2 linked regions of the Arabidopsis thaliana genome follow. The protein of the gene in region 2 interacts with the protein of the main gene of each other region in a pairwise test. Each region holds a gene or a part of one and is shown on either strand. Other genes may lie near its edges. The genes, in order: AT1G54540 and AT1G07650.

Region 1 (3,559 bases), about 18 Mb from region 2:
GAGAGGTATCGGAAACTCGCCGGTGATTATGGTTGTGCATAATGATGGATTGATTATGAAAGCTGTTCTTCATGAATCTAAACAAGGCAAGTGATGAGATTTTTTAAAGCATTTAGAGCTTTTTATTTTTCTTTTGGGAAAATTTGATTTATAATTTGGTTATGTTTGAATTTTATATACATGAATTAATGTTGTTAATTGATAATGATTACATTGTAATTTCTTCGATTTTTACTTCTTTTTTTACTTGGGATGAATTAAACTCGAGATCGTTTGAATTTTCTCGAAATTTTATATTTCAATTCTATTGTAATTTTCGAAAGTTTTACCATTGAAAAAATAGTATAGATGTGATTCACACTACCAAACCATTCATGCTGAAGTTGATTCCATGCTATGGGCAATAGAATTTATAATCTCGATAGGTGTTACGAGTTGCTCTTTTGCTTTCGACCGTGAAGATCTTATCTCTATTGAAAAACTTTCAGTGTAGCCAACATTTGTAGTTGAGATGACGACATTTGGTTCCCTTGTATGTTTTTTTCCCTCTTCTAGTATTAATTTTCTTTCTCGTCGTTTTAATGTGCGGATCGATTGCCTTGGAAAAAGACATGAGATCGCAATAGGTTTTTTTCCCATGTAAGCACGTCGGTTCCTGAATGACTCTCTCTCTCTCTAGAAGAGAGTCTCGTTCCGACTACTTCATAGAAATTATGTTAAGCGGAAAAGAACCATTCATTTGCAATATTTTGAAATTTCAAAAATCTCTCGTAATTTAAAAAATAAAAATCAATCTTTTATTGAGAATAAAACCATTAATCCAAAATATGAATCAAATGCATAAGAAAATGATGAATTGAGTAATTAACACCAATAAAAAGTAAAAGCGCCTAGATCTAAGAACATCTCAGAGTTTGGCCTTAAAACTGCAATCACTAGCTTTGATGTTGATATTATTGTTCGTTGATAAACTATCAACAACAAGCTTACAACTCCCCAATATCCGAATCTTCTTCATCTTCAGATTTCCGAGTTTGATGGCGACAGGTGCATTCACTTTAAGATCTAACGGTACACGTCCTGTTTGTTGTTGCTGCTGCAATGCCGCCAAGACAGTGTTCCCATATTGCGCTCTTCCCGTTAGAGCCACATTTAGTTTAGTTACATTGCGATGTCCTTGATAAAACCTCGGTATAGGGCCTTCACATAGCTTTGTCTTGTCGTACCACACACCGATATGACCTCCTTTCTCGTAATAAATCCCAATCTTTTCGTTGGGATTACGAGCTGTGATCTCGACTTTAAACTCCGCGGAAAGAGAGAGGTCTAGATTGATTCCAAGGTTGGTAACTCGTAAACTGTTGACTTCGTAACTCGGGAGTTTAGGGTGGAAAACAAAGTATACAACCGCAACCGCAATTGCTAACGCGATCAATGCAATGACTAGAAGGCTTAACACCCAACAAAAGATTTTGCAGCACATATTTCGATTCTTACTAGGAATAACAGGAGGCGGAATCGGCCGTTGAACCGGAAGCAAGACTGTCTTTCCGGGAGCTGGTGTTGTTGTCTTCGTCTTGTTGGCTTCCATTTGAAGAACCGGGTGAATTTTTTGTTGATCTCCCATGGATCTACAACTTTGTATTTAGTAATACTAATGCACCAACATGTATTATATGTACTTTATTTTATATCAAAGTTTTGTCTTGTGAAGTTGTTTCCATGCATGACTTTTACCAACATCTTACCTTCCTCACCTATAACGTTGAATTAATCAGAATATATTAGAAAGACTAGAGGTTGTTCAACAGTTACAGTAATCTTTTTGTATTTAATTCGATAATAAAACAAAAACAATAAATCATTCGGTATATTGGTTTAGTTAGGATGACGACTTTGGCAACATTCCAATGTTTTCAACACATATCTTCTTTTTGTTCATCTCTATGTTCAGCAACAACCCGTATAATCAAATTCTTGAGGAAGAATTTGAAAACTACAATTTTTATGATACATTTCATAACTATCACTAATTTTTTTTTTCAAAAACACCACAAAAGGATTTATAATTTCTTTAAATACATTTTATAGAAAATATTTATAAAGTTATATAAGGTTTTATAAATTGATTCTTGAATGATTTTTTTGTAAGCAATCTCAAAAGAAGAAAGATTCAAACTTATTAAGATAGAAACTAAGAACTTAGATAGATTATTAAAACTTTATGATGCAAGGGTACTGATAGAGAAAATATTACTTCGTTGTCACCAAGAACACTATGATTCGAAATTGATACTCTTATTAAGATGAAGGAAGAGAGTTGTTTTGAGAGGACAACTCTCAAACAAAGTTACCTTCCATGGATGTTCTAACCATAAATTTATATGCTTTTGCTAGCTAAAACTCTAGTTCCATGGGCTAATAGACTTCTCAAAACACTCTATCTTAGGATTCTTTTGCATCCTTTTAAAAAAAAAGTCTTTAGTAGTTTATTTTGAGAAATGGAATCGTAAAAGTGATAGATGTCAAAGTTTCCCAATTAATATATAGTCATCACTCATCTACTCTGGAAATTTATGTTAGTCACATATCATCTGATCTATAAAGAGATTACTAAATATGTGGTGGTGCACTCTACGAACTAAATCAAGAGCTTCGTAGTTTTTAAGTAAAACTGAAAATCAGTTGCTAAACGATTTCGTAATTTTACCATATGATATAGTTAAGGATTCGATGGTTTATTTTTTTCCAAATAATAGGCCCATTTAAAAAATCTGTGCCAAAGCAAAACTTTATTACAAGCCCAACCAAAACACATATACAAACATATTAGGGTACCGAATAGGTCAATGAGACATTAAACTTGTGGAGAAAGCTGAAAACTTGGAGGAAGAATGGCGACAGTAACCGATCTACCGGATGATTTGGTAAGAGAAATATTTTCTAGGGTTCCATTGACATCTCTAAGAGCAGTGAGATCTACTTGTAAAAAGTGGAACGCTATATCGAAATATGACATCTTAGGTAAAAAAGCAGCAGCAAAGAATCAGTTCTTGGAGTTCATGGTTACAGATTCTAGGGTTTGTTCTTTGAGATTAGATCTTCAAGGAATCCGTAGCGAAGAAGATTTGATTGATCTATCTATAAAGCAAATAAGTATACCTAATAAAGTTGATCAAGTCGAGATATCTCAAGTCTATCACTGTGATGGCTTATTGTTATGCATCGCCAAAGACAACTCGAGTGTTATGGTATGGAATCCGTATTTAGGGCAGACGAAATTGATTCAACCAAGAAAAAAACTCCACAGATATGACAAGTTTGCTCTTGGATACGACAACAACCGTAACCACAAAATTTTGAGGTTTCTTTATGAGGGGAGTCCAAGAAACGTCATTATTGATGTTTACGATTTTAGCTCTGATTCATGGAGGGTTCTTGATATTGATATAGATTGGCATGAACTGTTTAGTCACAATAGCGTGTCTTTGAAGGGAAATACTTACTTTTTTGGTCGAAAGGGACCACGTTTGCCTATGCTGTTTAAACCTCCATCTCG
Region 2 (8,039 bases):
TTTTTCTAATCTAAAGGCCCATATGTGAGTAGTAGGCCCAAATTGACCCAAAAAAGGGAGCAAAAAGCTCACGTGGCAGCAAGTACCCTACACACGAAGGTGCATGTTGTCGACCACGTGTTGAGCTCACCGTAAAGAGAGATCCTATGTGAGGTTTGATGATGAGCATTTCCAAGGATTTCATCGGATCGAAATCAGAATCATAAGACTGGGAAAAAATGGCAGCTAATATGATGAGACCGGCGTTTGCTTACACTGTTGTGTACGTGAAGGACGTAGCTAAATCTGTAGAATTCTACTCTAGAGCTTTTGGTCACAACGTCCGTCGTCTTGACGAATCCCACAGGTTTGTATTATGAATTGTTACTATTCTCTACGTTGGATTGTCTTAGGTGTTGTTGGATACGATCATAGGAATGTAAACGACAGAATCGTATTAGGTCATGAAACAAAACTCTCGGGTTTGAGATTCTATTGGTGCGATGTCCTATAATCAGGTCCGATCCGCTGGCTAACATGCTAAGCAAACACACCAAATATATATGTTTGATGAATGAAAGAAACTGATACATACAGGTGGGGGGAGCTAGAGAGCGGGCAAACCACGATAGCGTTCACACCGCTTCACCAGCATGAGACCGACGACCTAACCGGGAAGGTTCAGGCTACGCAGTCAGCACGTGAAAGAGCACCCATCGAAGTCTGCTTCTGTTACCCTGATGTTGATGCCGCTTTCAAGGTAGAAATCAATTATTATATACTTATGTCTATATTTGCCTGTTACTCTTCAATTCGTACGTGTTGATAAACCAGTGAGATGCTGCGTTGTGCAGAGAGCGGTGGAGAACGGTGCGGAGGCAGTGAGCAAGCCGGAAGATAAAGAATGGGGGCAGAAGGTTGGATACGTGCGAGACATTGACGGCATTGTTGTACGCATCGGAAGCCACGTTAAGTGAATTCAAAATAAAGACTCGTAAAATATGATCATTAACTAGTCTATATACATATGAATAAATATTACAAGATACTTTGGTACCTTTGTTAATTATGGTTGATGTCTTGATGAATATATTTACTTAAAGCAACATGTAAAGTAAAAAGATATACAAAGTGTCCAGCCTAGTCCCCACACTCCCCTCTCTCAATTCGTTTTTTCTTTGTTAGTATCGTTACACAAAGTAGGAAACGATGTTATGATCAAAATCATAATAGTTGGATTTTTCTCCTATCCTAGTTATCTTAAACATTTATCAAATGATTCCGCGACCCAACAAAATAACAAACGAAAGAGAGTGTAAAGTTCCTTTTACCTTTTTTCTTTTTATCTTTTGTCGTAGTCGTAGTTTCGTATGTTTGTGAGTACTTTGGCTTTCCAAATTAATACGACTGGCTGTCTATCAAAGTAGCTAAACCAATAATGTAAAGATCTGTCGTATGTGGTCTTTGAAACCCAAATCAATTGTTTGTTTTATAACAATAATTGATTCTTGATTTTTGTCAAATAGAACTTATCAACAATAATTGATGAGACTCGATTATCCGCTGAAAATATTTTTATAATTATTTTAGGAGGAAGGTATCATATATATACTACTTTTCATTGTTTGCCGGCTAAATAATTTTAGGAATTGCTGACACTTAGTATAAAACATTGAACATAAGATAAGAAACTTGTTTAATATTTAAAATTCTTTACTTCCTATTTCTTAATATAATACAGAAATATTTGTATCTTTTTAACAACCAAATAAATCTTTAACCAAAACATAGACTAGTACTCTTAAAGCAAAACATAGACTAATCTCATACAAGGACTAATCCCAAAATCGCTTGGGGATATAATTTCTGAAGGGTCTCTGTCAAACCTTAAGAAAAGATATTTAAAAGTAGCACTGGGTCCTGATATAATATACATAATGTTTACATTACAGTATTACACACACACATATTAGAATGGGCTGAAGACCAAAATAGTTAAGAGAACATGACAAAGTACAGCAAACCTTATTAAATCCTGACGACTAAAGTGGTCAATAAGCTCTAGCTTCTCATCCATCACCACTTCCTAAATGTTTCTCTCTCTATATCTCTTGCAAGCTTTCTCGCAGAAGTGATACCATATTTTATTATTTTGTATAGAAAAAATGATATATTTACATCGCATATATTTCATCATCGTCCTCTTCACACTAATTTTCCATGGGCGTCTTGGTTTTTCCGACAACAATAAACTTCACGAGGCCGAAGGTACTACTATAAAGATTCTTCCTCTAGTCCTGTCTCTCGTCTGTATATGTGTGTGCATCTCTATGATTTGCAAATCAAAGCACTTTTTTTATCTTTGATGATGATGGTTGTTTGGTATGGTTTGAAATTGGGAAGTGAGGGCATTAAAGGAGATAGGGAAGAAGCTAGGGAAGAAAGATTGGGACTTCAACAAAGATCCATGTAGTGGTGAAGGCACTTGGATTGTAACAACTTACACAACCAAAGGGTTTGAGAGTAATATCACTTGTGATTGCTCCTTTCTTCCTCAAAACTCTTCTTGCCACGTCATTAGAATGTAAGTTTCTTCTTCTTCATCCTCCTTCCCTTTCTTATCTTCCTCTTTAATTTTACCCATTTATGGAAATTACAAATATCTTTAGCGTGTCGGTGCCAAGTCACGAATATTGGATTTCACAGTCTGTAAAACAAGTGTACGTAATACAAGTATGGAGAATTTCACAGTTTTTATTTTTCGGTTTGTTTGTGCTAAAAATAATTTCACAGGTTAGAATTCCTTTTTATTTTCATGGAATATGTTTAGCATTAATTAGTTTAAGCTAAAAGAGGGGAATTTTAGGGTAACAGAGTAGTGGCTAGTTTAATGATGGTGACAATGAAGGGGAAAACCACTAAATTCCTTGGTGAAGGTTGGTTGCAATATTGACTGCACAACTCACACTTTAATGACAACCACTAACTATATGCCTACAACGTCACGTTCTCTTTTATATAGTACTAAAACTTATTCTACTGTACTTATATAATCCCTTGTTGATAGTTTTACTATCTTACTATTTCTTTTTTATGACAGCACCATCTTACTAATTAACGTTTTGTATTAAAGGTAAATAGTAAACGATAATTTGAAGCATCGGTTTTAAGATAACTAATAAAGTAATGAGTGTAACTAAGAGTTAGGTGGATGTAAATTCACATGTGAAGTAAGATTAAAAAGCTTTAAGTTTGATTTGTCTCTTTGTGACGACAAGTTTATACTTGCCAGGCTGGTCGTTGACCCGTTGACCAAAGTAAACGATTCAATAGATAATAGCGCGTTTACTTTCGCTCTATTCCATAACTAGACTTTATATAAATCGCCAGATAAAAAACTATGATTTACATAATTCAAAAAACATTTAGTGTTAGTAAAAATTAGTTATATATTTGTGTCTCTTTAGACTGTTTGATCATTTTTTAAAATCATAATTCTTTTTAAAAAATTGTCATCAAAATCGTAACAAGTTTATGATCCAAAATAATATAAGAACAACCATGATCTGTAATTCTGTATTATCAAACAGTAACACTACTGTAAATTTGTTTCATTTTGAGATGATGAAAAATCAGAAATTATTTTTCTAGTACAAATTTCAGTTTTAAGAAGAATAAAACAAATTTCATACCGATGCGACAATTACTTTACCAGTCCATTAAATATTGTTTTAATTTGTTTCCCTAGCTTATGCTTAAGTATATTACAATATTTGTCCCCGTTGTTCTTGAGAAGTTTATCTTCCACCCCAAAACTTCTAGTTCTGTAAAAGAAGACCTAATCAGAATCAAACTGTCAAAAAGTAACAATTTTAATAGTGGCAATTTGGTTGGCAGAGCTCTGAAGTCGCAGAACTTAACAGGCATTGTCCCTCCAGAATTCTCTAAGCTTCGTCACCTTAAAGTTTTGTAAGTGATCAATCAGAAAGACTTGAGCTTTTTCATTCTTTCTCAAAGTTTTAACTTTAGAAATTGGTTCTCAACGCATACAACAATTTTGGTGCAGAGACCTAAGCCGTAACTCTCTGACTGGTTCCATTCCAAAGGAATGGGCTTCTATGCGCTTGGAAGATTTGTAAGTATCTCTTCTACTTTGCTTCTCTAATGAAATCAAATCCAATCAAAATCTTATCTTTGTTGGTTTTGATGTACATTACACAGATCTTTCATGGGGAACCGATTGTCTGGTCCGTTTCCGAAAGTCCTGACCCGCCTTACAATGCTCAGAAACTTGTATGTTGTTGTTAACTCCTTTACTCTTGTTTTGGTTCATGAATTCTATTAGAGCCTTATGTTTGGATTATAACTGTAGAGTTTCCTAGTAGATTTATGTATATGTGTGTTGATCATCTGAAATTATGCAGGAGCCTAGAAGGAAATCAGTTTTCAGGACCAATCCCTCCTGATATTGGACAGTTGGTTCATTTGGAGAAACTGTAACTTTCTTTTATCTATCTCTTTTGTGGCTATCTATTGTATCTATAGACATTGAACAATCTGGTGATGGTCTAGTCACTAACAAACTAGCATCACTAGAAATCTCAAGTCTTTTGGTTTCTTAGTTAATATCTTATATCCTCTTCTCTGTTTTTGCTTCAGTCATCTCCCTTCAAATGCTTTCACTGGTCCATTGACTGAAAAACTTGGATTGCTCAAGAACCTGACTGATATGTAAGAGAATTTAGTCTGACATGTTTTGATATGACAAACATAAAATTTAGTCTTTGTTGGAGAATTCTTTAATTATTGTATTTGTGGGGTGTCAGGAGGATAAGTGATAATAATTTCACTGGACCAATACCAGATTTCATCAGCAATTGGACAAGAATACTGAAACTGTACGATCTATTCTTTCTCCATAAGAGTACTCGCATGTTCCCAAGAAAAGACATATGAACCAAAAAAATGTTTTGCAGGCAGATGCATGGTTGCGGTTTGGATGGTCCGATACCTTCCAGTATTTCTAGCTTAACAAGCTTGACCGACCTGTAAGCCTTTAAAAAACTTCTTTTCAAATCATCTCCTTGTCAAACAATGACACACGAGACATTATCATATAATTTTTTTTTCTTTGGTGGGTTGTGATTGATAGGAGAATTAGCGACTTAGGAGGCAAACCGTCTTCCTTCCCCCCACTGAAGAATTTGGAATCTATCAAGACGCTGTGAGTTAATATACAATATGTATGTTGTGTTTGCGATACAGGCTTGCTAGAAAACGTTTTTAACCAATCTCAAATGCAGGATACTGAGAAAATGCAAAATAATTGGCCCAATTCCAAAATATATTGGGGACTTGAAGAAGCTCAAAACACTGTAAGTCATGTATATACATTGAGCAAAGAAGAGCTTTAAAAATGCTTTATATTTCCATGAGATGAACTCTGTATGGTATTTATGTTTACTGTGTACTGTGTAGTGACCTCAGTTTTAATCTCCTAAGTGGTGAGATTCCTTCATCGTTTGAAAATATGAAGAAAGCCGATTTCATGTAAGTATGTATGGTATTTAGTTATATTTTTCCCAATCGTGAAAGTTTTTCTGAGTCTTTTCTATCAGTTATTTGACAGGAAACAAATTGACAGGAGGGGTTCCAAACTACTTTGTCGAAAGAAATAAAAATGTGTACGAATACATGCCTCTGTTAACTTTTAAACGTACCAACTTTAATAGATTTAATAAACTGTATTTGTTTTTCTTGATGTGCAGAGATGTTTCTTTTAATAACTTCACCGATGAAAGTTCAATTCCTAGCCATGACTGTAACCGAGTTACTTCGTAAGTTTATTCATTGTACTCTTATATTTCAGAACACTATGTTCATACCCTGGCTGAAACAACAATTTTGTGCTTCTATTTTCTAGAAATTTGGTGGAAAGCTTCGCCTTGGGGAACAAATCGTAAGAAACCAGCTCTCTGTACAAAAACGACTCATCATAGAAAACTGATTTATGCTCATGACTTCGTAGTGGTCTTTTAAATCTTGTCCTTTCAGTTATGATTAGTGAACTGAACCGAAAACGGTCTGTATTTTCCCTCTGTCTTTGATGTTACAGACACAAGGGTTCAACCTGTTTTCTTCAACGCATGCCTTGTGTTCATCCTAAGAGATATCGTAAGCAACAATAAAGCTTGTCTTGTTTTCATCATATTCTAGTACTAGCTATTAAAACTTAAATAAATGTGAAGCAAATCCTTGTTCTTGATTAAAAAATTGAAACCTTCTTGTAGATTTATATAAATTGTACATAAATTGCGGAGGAGGTGAAGTAAAAGTGGATAAAGAAATAACATATCAGGCTGATGACGAACCCAAAGGTGCTTCTATGTACGTCCTTGGCGCTAACAAGCGCTGGGCGTTGAGCAGCACCGGGAACTTCATGGACAATGATGACGATGCTGATGAGTATACTGTGCAGAACACATCCAGGTTATCAGTTAATGCTTCCTCTCCCAGCTTTGGACTTTATAGGACAGCTCGAGTCTCTCCTTTATCGTTGACTTACTACGGAATCTGTCTTGGAAATGGGAACTACACTGTGAATCTCCACTTTGCTGAGATCATCTTTACCGATGACAATACATTATACAGTCTCGGCAAACGTTTGTTTGATATTTATGTTCAGGTACGTCTATGCAGTCAATATTCTTTTACTTACTCTGTAGAAAAATATAAATCAGAACATAATATATTCTTGCATGTTTATCTGCTCACAGGATCAGTTGGTGATTAAAAACTTTAACATTCAAGAAGCTGCTCGAGGATCAGGTAAGCCAATCATTAAATCGTTTCTGGTAAATGTAACGGACCATACTCTGAAGATTGGTTTGCGATGGGCTGGCAAAGGGACAACAGGCATTCCGATTAGAGGGGTATATGGTCCTATGATTTCAGCTATATCTGTGGAACCCAGTAAGTTTTTGTTTTTACTCAAAAGTGTTTGCTCTTTTATATAAATCATTTGTAACCTCTTTGTCAGATTGATGACCGTATTTTCTTGTGGCAGATTTCAAACCTCCGGTATATTATGACACAAAGGATATCATACTAAAAGTGGGGGTACCTGTCGCTGCAGCAACACTTCTTTTGTTTATCATAGTGGGTGTATTCTGGAAAAAAAGGCGTGACAAAAATGATATTGACAAAGGTATAAGGTTTAGTTTTCTTATGATGTTGTAATGTTTTTGAATCTTATGTAACTTCTTATGTATTCTGGTGCCTAAATGTCAAATTTTTTATGAATGAACAGAGCTAAGGGGTCTAGATCTTCAAACTGGAACTTTTACTCTACGGCAGATAAAAGCAGCCACTGATAATTTCGATGTAACAAGAAAGATTGGTGAAGGTGGATTTGGCTCTGTTTACAAGGTAATTCACTTGAATTCTGCGACATTGTTAGCTCTATACGAAATTGTTTACAGAAGATGTGTACACATTTTGGAAGAATATTGAGAAAGTGGTCCTTCTCTTGGTGCAGGGTGAATTATCTGAGGGGAAATTAATTGCAGTTAAACAACTGTCTGCAAAATCGAGGCAGGGAAATCGCGAGTTTGTAAATGAGATAGGAATGATCTCAGCTCTTCAACATCCGAATCTTGTGAAGCTATATGGATGTTGTGTTGAAGGAAACCAATTGATATTGGTGTATGAGTACTTGGAGAACAACTGTCTATCTCGAGCGTTATTTGGTATGTTGTTTCTCTCGAATTTGCATCTGCGGAATTATCCGGTGGAATTACTGCTCAGAATCTTTGTGTGGGTGATCTTCTTTTGTAGGAAAGGATGAGAGTTCTAGACTGAAACTAGACTGGTCAACAAGGAAGAAGATTTTTTTGGGGATAGCCAAGGGACTGACATTTCTCCATGAAGAATCTAGGATAAAGATTGTACACAGAGATATAAAGGCAAGCAATGTGTTACTCGATAAGGATCTCAACGCTAAAATTTCTGACTTTGGTTTGGCAAAGCTGAATGATGATGGAAACACACACATCAGCACT

The links.
Region 1: the proteins of AT1G07650 (region 2) and AT1G54540 interact in a protein complementation assay, tested with the Arabidopsis thaliana proteins (one large-scale study listed by BioGRID).

What each region holds. Positions count from the first base shown.
Region 1 is NC_003070.9:20,366,795-20,370,353, forward strand, and holds AT1G54540 (Late embryogenesis abundant (LEA) hydroxyproline-rich glycoprotein family), read right to left. Parts: upstream 1,718-3,559; 5' UTR 1,628-1,717; coding exon 908-1,627; 3' UTR 759-907; downstream 1-758. Other genes in the region: AT1G54530 (Calcium-binding EF hand family protein), read left to right, coding at 1-94; AT1G54550 (F-box and associated interaction domains-containing protein), read left to right, coding at 2,895-3,559.
Region 2 is NC_003070.9:2,360,529-2,368,567, reverse strand, and holds the start of AT1G07650 (Leucine-rich repeat transmembrane protein kinase), read left to right. Parts: upstream 1-1,958; 5' UTR 1,959-2,144; coding exon 2,145-2,247; intron 2,248-2,382; coding exon 2,383-2,563; intron 2,564-3,858; coding exon 3,859-3,948; intron 3,949-4,045; coding exon 4,046-4,114; intron 4,115-4,200; coding exon 4,201-4,272; intron 4,273-4,403; coding exon 4,404-4,475; intron 4,476-4,600; exon of another isoform or gene 4,601-4,638; coding exon 4,639-4,710; intron 4,711-4,805; coding exon 4,806-4,877; intron 4,878-4,955; coding exon 4,956-5,027; intron 5,028-5,131; coding exon 5,132-5,203; intron 5,204-5,282; coding exon 5,283-5,354; intron 5,355-5,457; coding exon 5,458-5,529; intron 5,530-5,597; coding exon 5,598-5,663; intron 5,664-5,747; coding exon 5,748-5,816; intron 5,817-5,902; coding exon 5,903-5,938; intron 5,939-6,094; coding exon 6,095-6,153; intron 6,154-6,269; coding exon 6,270-6,664; intron 6,665-6,755; coding exon 6,756-6,951; intron 6,952-7,045; coding exon 7,046-7,186; and 6 more. Other genes in the region: DSI-1VOC (dessication-induced 1VOC superfamily protein), read left to right, coding at 219-346, 577-739, 834-956.